Arabidopsis thaliana: one gene and its partners. The protein of the gene in region 2 purifies or fractionates together with the protein of the main gene of each other region. This does not show direct contact. Each region holds a gene or a part of one and is shown on either strand. Other genes may lie near its edges.

Region 1 (6,338 bases), on a different chromosome or scaffold from region 2:
ATGTGACGCGTCAGCTCTCGTGACATAAATCGGACTACGTGGATATCTTTGATTGGATGTTATGCCTTTTCTTTGCCAGCCAAATGTCCACGTCACGGAGCGGTGAAAGAATGTTAAGTTTAAGCAAATTTTTACTTTTACAGGGTTTTTTTTTTTGGGTTCACTTTTGCAGTGTTATTGTGTAACTTGCGTTCGGTGATAAAGTTTATAAATTTCTGGAAAAGAAATTCCACATAAAATGAAATACCGCACTTTTGGTACTTTGAAAAGAAATGCTTACACCATGCAAAAGAAATGGTTAACAAGACATGAAAATATAGTACTACTTTTGGTTCTCTGGTATACCACGTCAAGTGATCTTTACATGCACGAATCGAGCATTCCAAAGGTTCGAAACTGTGTCCTTTTTCATGGTATCAAATCAAATCTTTTTGTAGTATGGTGGATGATCTTATAACAATAATGGATTATTTTCAGCAAATTCTTTAGTTCTACAACACTAGTAGTGATTTTAAGATTTCACATTTTGGGGGCTTGTATAACAAATTAATTCGTATCCACACTTTCAAGAGATCAAAGAAGCATATATTTCATTAGAGAAAACAAAGATACATATAACATTGCAACAAGAGAAACATATAGTATAAAGCCGTAAACTCTCTTCAACGAAAGCGAGAGAGTGTGACTCCATTCCCTCAAAACCTAACTTTGGCTAAAATATTTTTCTTGGAAGAAAAGTTATTGAAACTGAACAAACACAAACCACGTAGAAAAATCCCGGAATATAGAAATAATATCTTCAAGCTCTTCACTTGGCACTACCGAGCTGGGAGCGGATAAGCTTAGCCGCGTCAACCATGGCTTTAAGTGCTGGTTTAACCTCAGTGTACTTCCTTGTCTTCAGACCACAGTCAGGGTTAACCCACAAGATGTTCTGCTCAAGAACCGCAAGCATCTTGTTGATCCTGTCTGCAATTTCATCTGTGGATGGTATTCTCGGAGAGTGAATGTCGTAAACACCAGGACCGATTCCTGCACCGTACTTCACTCCTTCACGGAACACTGAGAGAAGCTTCTCGTCTGAACGAGAGTTCTCAATGGTGATGACATCAGCGTCCATGTCAATGATTGAGTGGATGATGTCGTTGAAGTTTGAGTAACACATGTGAGTGTGAATCTAGAAGATAAAATAAAGAAGTTAGTTGCAGAAACATTCATCACTATTTGAGATTTTAAGTGTACAGTGTTGTTACCTGAGTGCTGTCTTGGACGCCACAGTTGGTGATTCTGAAAGAGTGAACAGCCCAGTCCAAGTAGAAAGAGTGTTCGGCTTTCCTAAGAGGCAATCCTTCTCTAAGTGCGGCTTCATCGATCTGAATGACTCCAATACCGCCTTTCTCGAGGTCTTCCACTTCATCTTTGATGGCCAAAGCGATCTGGTAACAGGTTTCGTGCCTGGGCTGGTCGTTTCTGACAAAAGACCAGTTGAGAATTGTGACTGGACCTGTAAGCATACCCTTCATTGGACGTTTGGTCATGCTCTGAGCTGTTGAGGACCAGAAGACTGTCATTGGCTTGGGGCGGCTCACGTCACCATAGATAACTGGTGGCTTCACACAGCGAGATCCATAGGATTGCACCCATCCGTTTGCTGTGAATGCGAAACCTGACAATTGCTCTCCAAAGTACTCAACCATGTCGTTTCTCTATAATATTGTCAAAGCATGGCTGAGTCAGAAACAGGACGTTGTAATTAGTTTTAGGGTCTAGTAAGAGACAAAGACTGACCTCAGGCTCTCCGTGAACAAGAACATCAATGTCAAGGTCCTCTTGGATGTCAACAACTTTCTTGATCTCTTCCTTGATGGCCTTGACGTAATCCTCTTCAGAGATTCTAGTAGAAGAAAGAGTTCCAGTTAGCATCACAATCAACTTACTAAACATGCTTAAATGATCAATGCAAAAAAATTATGATTAAGAGACTAACTTCTTGGCCTTGTATTCACGGCGAACTCTCCTGAGTTCCACGGTCTGTGGGAAGGATCCAATGGTTGTGGTTGGGAGGATTGGAAGGTTAAGCTTCTTCTGCTGAGCATCTAGCCTTGCGCTAACTTCAGTTGTACGGCGGTGGTCAGATCCCTTCAAAGCAGCAGCCTGAGATTGCAGGAATTACAAATCATTAGGATCAATAGAAACATATATCATACAGAGAAAACCATCATAATAGTAAAGAAAGCTTGAGTATGAAAGCAAGAACTTACAGCCTTCTGGACAGACTCATTGGTGACTCTTGGGGAAGACCTCCTCGAAGACAATGCGTCAGCGTTGGCAGTGAAGAAACTCTGAAAGAGAGAAATATTAGAGACTTGAAGTCTTTTTCAAACAAAGGGTTCACTTGGGAAACATGTTTGTAGGATTTTTACAATACCTCATTTGTCTGACCGGCCAAAGCCTTGGCCAATGCGTCAACTTCAACAACCTTCTGGGCAGCAAAAGCTAGCCACGACTTGATTTCAGCATCAAGCTTAGTCTCGTTAATAAGGTCAACGGCAGTGTGGAGAAGAGAGCAAGAGGTTGAGACCACAAGCTTGTCTGCACCAATTCACAAATAACAAAACCAACGAGTTAGAGAAAGATAACAAATTAAACACTTCTAATTGAGTAATCCACATAAGAGATTCTGGAAGAATATAATACCTTTACCAACAACACCCTCAAGTGACTGCAAGGTGATGAGAGAGGCAGCGAGGTCATTGGCCCAGATGTTCCTTCCGTCAACAACACCAGCAAAGAGGTACTTGCCCTGTGGGAAACCTGACTTGATCAAGTCAATGGTCTTGGTGCCACGAACCAAATCAAATCCGAAGGCAGTCACACCCTTCAAGGAAGTAAGGGTCTTGTATGCTTCAGCAGGGATATCAGCGAAGTAGGTCTCCACAAGAACATTCAGACCAGAGAGAGTTGATTCAAGCTCAGCATAGGCACCGCTAAAAGCCTGGAGTTTGTGACCCTCGAGATCCATGACAAAGAGAGGCTCATCAAGCTGAATCCAGGAGGCACCAGCTGCCTTAAGCTCTGCAATGACTTCCCTGAGAAAAGATTCACCATTCCAATAGTATGTCAGAAACAAATTTCCTAGCGTCAAAGAGAATAATTGAGTACTAGAGCAAAAGTAATCTCTTACTTGTAAACTGGGAGGATTTTGGGGAGAAGGGAGAGAAGATCAAATGACTTGTCAACACCCTTAGCAAGCTTGGAAAGAAGCAAGTAAGAGACAGGGCCAACAAGTACAGGGACGGTCTCAACACCAAGCTGCATTAACAACACCACATTACTATATTAGAACATTCAATACCAGACCAAAAGAAGCCTATATATGTTCAAATAGGAAAATTAGTTGAGTACGTACAGCCTTGGCCTCCTTGTACTCATTGACAGCCTTGTGAGATGCGTAAGAAAATTTCACTTCAGGGCCCAACTCTGGGACGATGTAATGGCTGCATCAAACAGAAACATTAAAAAAATACGTTAATAACACAACTCACAAATCCAATAACAATGTCAACACACAAGTTAAAGAGTAGAGAAGAAACTCACTAGTTGGTGTCAAACCACTTGGTCATCTCCATAGCTGGAACAGAGGCATTTCCTCTAGCCATGGAGAAGTAAACATCGAGACCGATCTCACCACTGGTAAATCCATATCTAGATGGAACAGCACCAAGCATGGCGGTGGTGTCAAGCACCTGGTCATAATGAGAAAAGGTGTTGCTTGGGATATACTTAATCCCAGCAGCAGACATCTGTTTCCAGATATCAGACCTGAGATCAGCAGACACCTTCTGCAAATCATCGGCACTGCTCTTGCCATCCCAGAAAGACTCCAATGCAAACTTGAGCTCTCTCTTAGGTCCCATACGTGGATATCCAACAATGTGGGAAGCCATTTTTGTTTGTTTTTTGTTTTTTTACTACATTTGAACCACAAACAAAACCAAAATCAGTCAGTAAACCAAACACAATCCTAAAATGTACTTCTTGTCATATGGTAAAAGCCACCAATCGTTAAAAAAGTAAAAAACTTTTGCAGTTTTTTTTGTCGTATTTATTGAAAACAGAGTATGAGAGAGTTTAAAGATCAAAACGAATCACAACTAGGGAAAACAGAGATCTAACGCAGAGAAAGATCGCAAAACAGAGATTTTACGAATCTGATCGTATAAAAAATCCAGATCTGTGTTTCATAGAATTTCACTCACCGGATTAAGATCTAAGTATTAACGAACGAAGAAGAAACGGAATCAAACGAAAATTGAATTGAGAAGAAAACGAAGAGACGGAAGGTAAATAAGAGAGTGGGAAGGGAGAGAGCAAGAATAGTCATGCGGAAGCCATGGAAACTCGGAAGCGTACCTTACGGAATGAGAAGAGTGGAGATGAGAGATGGGCAAAGAGAGCGACGATGGAGAGTGTTCTGTGTTAAGCTTATTTATAGCAAATCAATTACACATCGTTCCTTGGTTTCTCTCACTCACTCGTGGTGGCTGATTATTTTTCTATTTAAATTAATAATACGTACATGTACATCAAAATACGTATATTTAGGTTTTTACCCTCTCTACAACATTATACTATATGATAAATAAAAATACGTGTAATCCATGTATCCAGAATGATACTAATTTTTATCTTTCAAATTTAAGGGCACGGTCAATTATATACAACTTTCGAGAATTATACGTATAACGACGGTTTACATAATAAAAAAATGTATTTGATCATGGCATGACATTACAATTATATAAGCTGGTAGAACTTAATTCCGTTGAATTAGTACTAGTTTACTGGTAATTTTAGTTGACTTTTGTCAAGTCCTCACTGGCTAGTTAAAGCTTAAAACAATTGTTTAAGGGTTAATTAAGGGGTTAGTGTATGTTGTATTGTAAAGCGTAGTATTAATTAAGATATAAGAGCTTAAGAGGGGATTAATTATGGAATTGAAAATGTGAAGGTGGGGAGGAGAGTTGGTGTGTGTTGTTTGTGAAGAGTATACATGAGGAGAAGGAGGTAGCGGGATTGGTGGGTGGAGCCCATTAGGGAGTTGGTGAGATATTCACTTTTAATTTCATTTTTGGGAGTCAGTACCAACAATTCTTGCCACACAAATTTGGAGATTTGTTTGGTAAACAAAGTTGGTGAATGATTATGAGATCCTCCACGTCCCTCTTATGGTTTGATCTTCACATAATTTTTTTTATTCAACAATGACGTTTGAAACCTATTAACCATAAGTTGTCATAATATTCACCTTAATGAGGAATATACGTCTATAATGTATGTAAAGAAGTCTAGTATGAAATGGTAAACTAGTTCAGTAAAGAATATTCAATGCTCTGTTTGGACGACTAATACGAAAATTCTATGTTTCGAATAAAGAAGTGTATTTCTACCATCTCTTGTAACTTGTTTTGTAGCAAGAACTCTTTTTTTTAATGCTTTCACATGAGAAAGTCCGTTCTTTTGTTTTTCGACTCAAAAAACTTTAATCCATCAAGACGCTTAACAAGTAACTTCAAATTTCAAAACAAAACACAGAAATATTTGTATCCGGTAAATTTTATATTTCCTCACAATATCCAACATCGGTCTATTCCGAAGCATTAGTAGATCAGTAGATGCCTTGCTATGGTTTTGTCGGCTGTCGGTGGGATATAGATATAAAAACGCACGACCATTTAATGAGACATTTTTTTTTTCTTATTTCTCGCTAATGCCTAATGTATCATGCGTATTCGGTATTCCCAAAGTAAAAGAATTTGACAAAATGTTCCGACTAATATATACTTGTGCGTCTTGAAATATCGCATTACACATTACATACCTAATTTACTTTCAATTTTTTTTGTAAGAAAGTTAAATGAATAAACACGTTTACATATCATCAATCCTACAGAATATACTATAAGTTTTAACGGCGAGATCACATGCAAGAGACGATAAAGTTTCCATACTTTGAAAAGAGAATATGATATTCAATATATAAGGAAACTAAAAGAATTCATATATCCATAGATTGATATCTCTTATCATAAGGAAAATAAAAAATTCATAGACGATATACTGATATCCATAGATCGAAATTTTTTACTAATTAAGGAAAATAAAAAATTCATAGATTGATATCTCTTATCATCATATATCCATATTTCCAAAATATAATAAAAGAAGAAACTTTTCTTCACCACCCAAAACCTCCCAAATTTTTTGTTTTCCTAAGGTTTCTCAAGAGCAGGAACAAATAACAAAACATATCTAATCTAGATCGATGGAATCATCTT
Region 2 (4,501 bases):
GTTCTACACGCTTACGTCAATGGAAAATACGTCGGTAACCAATTCGTAAAGGACGGGAAATTTGATTACAGATTTGAGAGGAAGGTCAATCATCTCGTTCATGGGACTAATCACATTTCACTTCTCAGCGTTTCCGTTGGACTACAGGTAAGATGTGAAACTATAGTTTTTATATAAATTTCTTTCTCCAAAATTTGTTGTGACAACTAAAGTTGTGGTCATATGTTATAGAATTATGGACCTTTCTTTGAGAGCGGACCAACTGGAATCAATGGTCCTGTGTCCTTAGTCGGATACAAAGGAGAGGAAACAATCGAGAAGGATCTCTCGCAGCATCAATGGGACTACAAGATTGGTTTGAATGGATACAACGACAAACTTTTCAGCATAAAATCTGTTGGTCACCAAAAATGGGCAAACGAAAAGCTACCTACTGGTCGGATGTTGACATGGTACAAGGTCAGTATTAATTAAAACCTTCTACAAAAAAATTATTTGTTTTTGCAAATGAACGGTTTCTTACAATGAAATGTTATATCTTCAGGCAAAGTTCAAGGCTCCTCTTGGTAAGGAGCCAGTGATTGTGGACTTAAATGGTCTCGGGAAAGGTGAGGCTTGGATCAACGGTCAGAGCATTGGTCGTTACTGGCCGAGCTTTAACTCTAGCGATGATGGTTGCAAAGACGAATGTGACTACCGTGGGGCGTATGGTAGCGACAAATGCGCTTTTATGTGCGGCAAACCAACTCAAAGATGGTAACTAAACTACTAATGGTTCCTTCATTACATCACATAACTTTGACTTATAATTATTAACGTTTCATTATTCTGAATCTCTGATGGCCGAACTCTTGTAGGTACCATGTTCCACGATCGTTCTTGAATGCGAGCGGACATAACACTATCACACTATTCGAAGAAATGGGCGGTAACCCGTCAATGGTGAACTTCAAGACAGTAGTGGTTGGAACAGTTTGTGCCAGGGCTCATGAACACAACAAAGTGGAGTTGTCCTGCCATAACCGGCCGATTTCAGCCGTTAAATTTGCAAGCTTTGGAAATCCGTTGGGGCATTGTGGGTCATTCGCGGTTGGTACGTGCCAAGGAGACAAGGATGCTGCGAAGACCGTGGCTAAAGAGTGTGTTGGCAAACTCAACTGCACTGTCAATGTGTCTTCCGACACGTTTGGTTCTACTTTGGACTGTGGAGATTCACCTAAAAAATTGGCCGTGGAATTGGAGTGCTAGATTAGATCTTAGCTCTAGCTAGCTAGTGATTGCAATAATTTCCATCAAATAATGTCGTACTTGTTTTTGATCTATCAGGTTTTTTAGATGATTTGGATTTAGGATTGTGGAATAAATATTATGATCGAATAAAAGTTTCTCTTGTTTAAATATTTTATCTTGAGATGGTTTTTGTTCTGACCTTTATATTATTAAGCAACGACACTACAATTTGTTTTCTCTGTTGTGTTAAGAAATAAGTTTCACAGTTTTCTCTTTAACAATAGCCACAATTTTGTTTATGTCAACATTAACCACATTTTATAGTATCTGTCGTGCTCTTAGCTAAGGCGAAGCATACTTCAAAAGATTAAATTACTTTCTCATTACACATAATATTTATGATTTTAAAAGTATTATCAGCATTCTCCTCATATAGTACTAAAATTCTTTTTTAATTTGGATAGTGTAATATTTTTGTGATTACCAAATAATAGATGTTTTAGCATGATTCATAACAAGAAAAACATCTCAGAATGATTTACTAATCTATAAATTTCAGAAAGTGTGGCAAGAGGGTTAGGTAACGACCCGACCCGACCGCCCGGATCGGACCCGTTTAAGACAAAAAAGACCCACCCGGTTAGAGCGTTCTAGAACACTTGGGCAATAAAAAGAGAGGAGTCATGTGTTTTAGTCTATCTAACTCTCTCTCTACTGCAATTTTTAGGGTTTTATCCTCCGAAAGTCTCAACCTTTTTCTTATCCTCAACAAGGTATCATCACTCACTCTCTTCTCTTTAGCTACCCACTCCCTCTCTCTTCACTGTCTATTCGTATTATAGAAATCCTTTACAACGAGAATTGAATACAAAGGTTTGAACTTTGGGCGGATAAAGTAATCTAGTTCGCTCAATAGTGGTTGGGTTTTACTCTTATTTTGGTGAATCTGGGAGAAATCTTCATTTTTGCCCATTTGTTTATCTGTCTCTCTCAGTTTCATACTAATTGAGAGTTTGTGTGTTTTGACGGATAGGAGAAATGGCGGCGACTCAACTTACAGCGTCACCAGTGACTATGTCAGCAAGGAGCTTAGCCTCGCTGGATGGTCTCAGAGCTTCGAGTGTCAAGTTTTCATCTTTGAAACCAGGGACCCTTAGACAGAGCCAGTTCCGTCGTTTGGTTGTCAAAGCTGCTTCTGTTGTTGCCCCTAAGGTACTTTTCTCAATTCTTTGTTGTTTGGTTACTTGTTCTGGATGATAACTTATCTGAATCTTGGATTGTTGTTTTGTTGTTTTGGCCATTCGTTTGTGTTATACAATCCAATCCGCTAAATGATGTCTAAAGAAACTAAGCTTTAGATGCTTCTAGCTTCTCTTTTGCAAGCTTGGTTTGTATCTTAATGGCGCCTTGTGAGACATTTTGAGAAGTCCCTTCTCTTCTAGTTAATAATTTTCTCTGTTTATTGTGTATGGTTATTTACAGTATACTTCAATTAAGCCATTGGGAGATCGAGTTTTGGTGAAGATCAAGGAGGCAGAGGAGAAGACTTTAGGTGGTATCTTACTTCCATCCACTGCTCAATCAAAACCTCAAGGAGGTGAAGTCGTTGCCGTGGGTGAAGGAAGAACTATTGGGAAGAACAAAATTGATATCACTGTCCCTGTAACAACCTCACTACCCTTCAAGCCCTCTTTCTTTGTTTGCTTTGTTGTTTGCTAATAAATGTATATCTGATATGCCTCCATCTTTTTCCTGATGCAGACTGGAGCACAAATTATCTACTCCAAATACGCAGGAACTGAGGTGGAGTTCAATGATGTGAAGCATCTTATCCTCAAGGAAGATGATATTGTTGGCATTCTTGAGACAGAGGACATCAAAGATCTCAAACCTTTGAATGACCGAGTCTTTATTAAGGTTCGTCCCTTCTGTTTTACCTTAGTCATCTTATTATTGACTCTGCATGCAAATGTTAACTTCTGTTTTGAAATGTCTTGAGTTTAGGTTGCTGAGGCGGAGGAGAAAACAGCTGGAGGGTTGTTGTTAACCGAGACTACCAAAGAGAAGCCTTCTATTGGCACGGTAAGTGCTCACTTGATATCATGTCCATTCGGGGAATCTGATACTTTCTTAGTAGCTTGATGTGATAGTCAGTTCATACACAAGTTCCAATTATACATATTCTCCTCTTCATTTTATGGCAGGTGATAGCAGTTGGACCGGGTTCCCTAGACGAGGAAGGTAAAATTACGCCTCTACCAGTATCAACCGGAAGCACAGTACTTTACTCCAAGTATGCTGGTAACGACTTCAAGGGCAAAGATGGTTCCAACTACATTGCCCTCAGAGCTTCAGATGTGATGGCTATACTTTCTTAGTTATGTTATATCTTTGTAATCTGCAACTTGTATCCCAATTGTGGAAATTTTTTCCGTAAACGGCCTGAGCATAATCTGGAATAAAGACTTGAGTTTGAAAATGTGATTTTATTGCTGATTTCATGTTTTTCCTTCTCTTTTTGGTTACAAGCGGTTTCAGTTGATCAGTTAAACTTGGTAGAAACAGTGACTCACAGCAAATAAAATCTCCGTGTAAACTTAGTGGAAGATATTTTACAGGTAAATGCTCTACAGTGCCCAGTGGAAACTTGAGACATGTTATCAACGAGAAGTTATATTACAAAACGAAGAAAAAAGAATCTTTGTCTGTGAGAGAACTCTTCTGCCATCACCGGTTAAACGAAGTGGCTGAGTTATCATCATAATGACCTCTCCAAGCATTGCCACTGTCACCGCCACTACAAGCTTGATTAGTAACTGGTACACCGGCAAAGTTCCCGTCTAAGCTCATCTGCTGAACCTCAGCTGATGAAAGGATCTTAATGCTCTGAACACAGTTTACGAATTCTCTGCAAAAATCACGATTTTAAAGGTTAGCAAAAAAATAATGGAACTTCTAACAGTCTGATGTGTGAATGTAATTGCTCTCTACTTACTCCCATGGATCATCGCCGACGAGGAGGATGTCATTTTCATGATCGACATAAACAAGTTTCCAGTCAGATGTTTGAGGATCTTCGAGCTGTCCTTCGATCCCAAACATGCGCGCTAGATCATGCCTCAGCTCATCGTAACCTCTGTAACGGTTGACGTCTATTGATCTCCCCACTGAGCCTCGTTTTTGCACCTGTAGGAAAATTTAACATTTGTCAAACCGAAAACATAACCCAAATATCAACAAGCATAGATCAGAGCACAATCGAACCTTTGTA
Region 3 (2,992 bases), on a different chromosome or scaffold from region 2:
GGATTCTTTTCTTCTCTAAAGTTTGAAGAACCAAAATTGTAAAATTTAGTTATTTAAATTTAGCTTGCCAATGTTCATCAGTAAGCTTGAAATTCAGTAGACAAATACTCAAAACTTTTCTTATCACTCTCTCCTAGTATGCCCCCTTCAAGTTGGTGTCAGCCTCAAACTTGGACAATGGCTTACTAGACAACTTAAGCTTGCCACTTTGTCGAACGTCGCAGTTTTCGAGAGCATCTAAGAGATTGACAACATTATGTGTTCATGAAACACAAGGTTACAAGAAGTATGATCTTGTGTTTACTAAATAGGTTTGATCTAACCATTGGTAAGAGTCAATTTTGGTTCAGTATCTGCAATAACTGATATATTTTATATCACCAGTTGGTAGCTGTTGTATTCATATGTAGCAAGCAAGCAAAGTAGAGAAGGATAATCAAACTCAACTTAAATATAGAAGTCTTGTTCAAAAGACAAGCAATGTCGAAAACACACTACTGAAAAAGCAACAGATCATCAAGTTTCATAGACCCAAGGGTGAACGCTGCTCTGCCAGTTGACAGGTCCATCAGGGAACCACAAAGCAATCTCCTTTCTTGCACTCTCGACAGAGTCACTACCATGGATCACGTTCCTGCCAATGTCAATAGCAAAGTCCCCACGGATAGTTCCAGGCTCAGAAGCTGCTGGGTTGGTAGCTCCAATGATCTTTCTTCCGGTCAAGACAACATTCTTTCCTTCCCAGATCATAGCAACAACAGGGCCGGATACAATGTAGTCAACGAGTCCACTGAAGAAAGACTTTGAAGATAAGTCTTCGTAGTGCTTCTCAGCAAAAGATCTCTCTACACTGATCAACTTCAGACCTGTATAAAATACAAATCTACACTGATCAGAAACACAAGACTAACACTCTTATCTACCAAATTACATAATACAAAAGGTCCAGATAATAACAAGTTCTTATGCACAGATACTATAATCTAAAATCTATTAGACAACACAGAATACTTGTCAAGTCAAACAAGTTTTACTAAACTATTAGTGTTCAGAAACTAGACCAAACCATAAGCAACTATAGTGTCATTACAATCTCAATTCAAGTAACAAAGTGACTTTAATTAGATCTAAGACCTCTAATTATAATGTAAAATCAAGTTTGGTAATCGAAATCATTACCTTTCAAAGTGAAACCCTTCTTCTCAAACCTGCAGATGACTTCACCGATCTGAAAGAAAAAAACACAAACATATCGATCTTTTAAGTATAAACAATCCAAAGAACTGAATACAAAACCAAAATCAGATCAAGATCAACAAGTATGTATTAAGAGAAAAGGGAAGCTTACGAGTCCTCTCTGGACGCCGTCAGGCTTGATCATAATAAAAGTTTGCTCCATTGTTTTCTTATTACTTGTGATTCGTAGGAGGCAAAAAAGATTTATATAGAGTCCGCACATGTAACCCTAATTCTGTTGAAGAATATTCTAACCCTAGAATATTTGCTACAAATTATTGGGCTTCCCTTATTATTATGTTAGGCCCAATTAAATAAAATATTGGGCTTCATAAAAAAAACACAAATAATATTTTTTTGCAACTTAATTATTTATGTCAAACAAACGTAGATTAATACTGTGATATTAAAAGTCGTTCGCAATATAACTCTTGCACGTGTATAGATTTTGCAAATCATATAAATCTGTACATGATTATTAAAATTACGTCGTTTTGAGCCTTCTTTTAACAAAAAAAACGGCTTTTACTTATTATTATTTTAAGGTTCAATTAGTTATAAAAATTGGATTTTGTGCCAAAAAATTCTCTAAGTAATTTTTTTTGTAACTCAATCATGTAAGTTAAATAAATGCAGGTCTGCGATCTCAAAAGTCACCTATAGTATATCTCTTAGACGTGTATAGATTTTGCAAACCGTATGTTTATATATAGGTTATTAAAACTACGTTGTTTTGAGCCTTTAAACAAAAACGCAAAATAATGTTGGAAAATAGATTTGAACGCATGGCATATTGAACTATTCAAAGATTACTTAACCAATTGAGCAGAGTGATTTTGTTAACTTTACAAACCGATTAATATATATAGTTTAAACATGAATCGAATACAACAATAACATTATTTCAGAATTGTAAACATAAAACTTGACAAACAGCGCGAGCGGTTACGATCGGATCAAACCCAAGTCTGAACACGCTCAATTCTTCCACCCACGCCTCGTCTCAGAGCTTTCCTCGATGAAGAATAGATTAATTGCGATGAGAATGAGCCCTTGCTTGCTCTACAAATTGTTGATGATGGCCAAAGATAATGAAATCAGTGGTGATAAACAAACTAGTTCACGTGAATAGAGATTTCGGATTGCTAATAAACCTAATTTCCTAAGAAGATGAAGAAACCCAGAATGCAATGTTCACAATATATATTTATCGGTATGCAATATCAACAATAAATCTTGCAGCACAATTGGTTAAGTGCATTATTTAGTATTATAGGTTATTGGTTCCAATCCACTCTAGTAATGTATTATTTTCCGAAAAGATGCTCAAACGACGTAGTTTAATAACTTATATACATACTTATACGGTTTGCAAAATCTAAGCACGCCCAAAGATTATATAAAATCTATGCACGTGGTTATACTGTGGGTGACTTTTGATATCAGAGTATTGACCTACATGTATTTAATATGAAAGGTTATGTTGCAAAAAAAAATATTTTTGAGGGTTGTTGGCACAAAACCCTAATATATTTGTTAGATTTGGATTAAAAGAGTTTGATCACACCACTTTGATGCATTCTCTCATGTTGAAGATATACACAACACATTTTCTAAACAAAAATTGTAGTTTTAAGGATTTTATTTTTTATAATATATATATCAAGTATATGAATTGATATAGAAACTATATATAAGTACATAAATTATTCGATGTAGCCAATTACTTCAAAAATTGATAAAATGATCTCAAACA

The links. The genes of interacting proteins can lie anywhere in the genome.
Region 1: the proteins of CPN20 (region 2) and MS2 fractionate together in Arabidopsis thaliana (co-fractionation; one large-scale study listed by BioGRID). This does not show direct contact.
Region 3: the proteins of CPN20 (region 2) and NDPK1 fractionate together in Arabidopsis thaliana (co-fractionation; one large-scale study listed by BioGRID). This does not show direct contact.

What each region holds. Positions count from the first base shown.
Region 1 is NC_003074.8:955,211-961,548, reverse strand, and holds MS2 (methionine synthase 2), read right to left. Parts: upstream 4,688-6,338; 5' UTR 4,414-4,687; exon of another isoform or gene 4,260-4,413; intron 3,972-4,259; 5' UTR 3,948-3,971; coding exon 3,598-3,947; intron 3,498-3,597; coding exon 3,410-3,497; intron 3,313-3,409; coding exon 3,185-3,312; intron 3,090-3,184; coding exon 2,698-3,089; intron 2,593-2,697; coding exon 2,429-2,592; intron 2,343-2,428; coding exon 2,262-2,342; intron 2,155-2,261; coding exon 1,988-2,154; intron 1,895-1,987; coding exon 1,789-1,894; intron 1,707-1,788; coding exon 1,254-1,706; intron 1,178-1,253; coding exon 809-1,177; 3' UTR 517-808; downstream 1-516. Other genes in the region: AT3G03776 (hydroxyproline-rich glycoprotein family protein), read left to right, coding at 6,326-6,338. UniProt on the Arabidopsis thaliana protein: Catalyzes the transfer of a methyl group from 5-methyltetrahydrofolate to homocysteine resulting in methionine formation.
Region 2 is NC_003076.8:7,012,747-7,017,247, forward strand, and holds CPN20 (chaperonin 20), read left to right. Parts: upstream 1-1,922; 5' UTR 1,923-2,170; exon of another isoform or gene 2,171-2,263; 5' UTR 2,264-2,268; coding exon 2,269-2,442; intron 2,443-2,712; coding exon 2,713-2,892; intron 2,893-2,991; coding exon 2,992-3,147; intron 3,148-3,234; coding exon 3,235-3,312; intron 3,313-3,434; coding exon 3,435-3,608; 3' UTR 3,609-3,710; exon of another isoform or gene 3,711-3,919; 3' UTR 3,920-3,952; downstream 3,953-4,501. Other genes in the region: BGAL7 (beta-galactosidase 7), read left to right, coding at 1-147, 232-459, 545-756, 858-1,248; NPH4 (Transcriptional factor B3 family protein / auxin-responsive factor AUX/IAA-like protein), read right to left, coding at 3,958-4,138, 4,226-4,416, 4,495-4,501. UniProt on the Arabidopsis thaliana protein: Seems to function only as a co-chaperone, along with CPN60, and in certain cases is essential for the discharge of biologically active proteins from CPN60. Required to activate the iron superoxide dismutases (FeSOD).
Region 3 is NC_003075.7:5,921,891-5,924,882, reverse strand, and holds NDPK1 (nucleoside diphosphate kinase), read right to left. Parts: upstream 1,400-2,992; coding exon 1,349-1,399; intron 1,229-1,348; coding exon 1,180-1,228; intron 867-1,179; coding exon 517-866; downstream 1-516. UniProt on the Arabidopsis thaliana protein: Major role in the synthesis of nucleoside triphosphates other than ATP. The ATP gamma phosphate is transferred to the NDP beta phosphate via a ping-pong mechanism, using a phosphorylated active-site intermediate.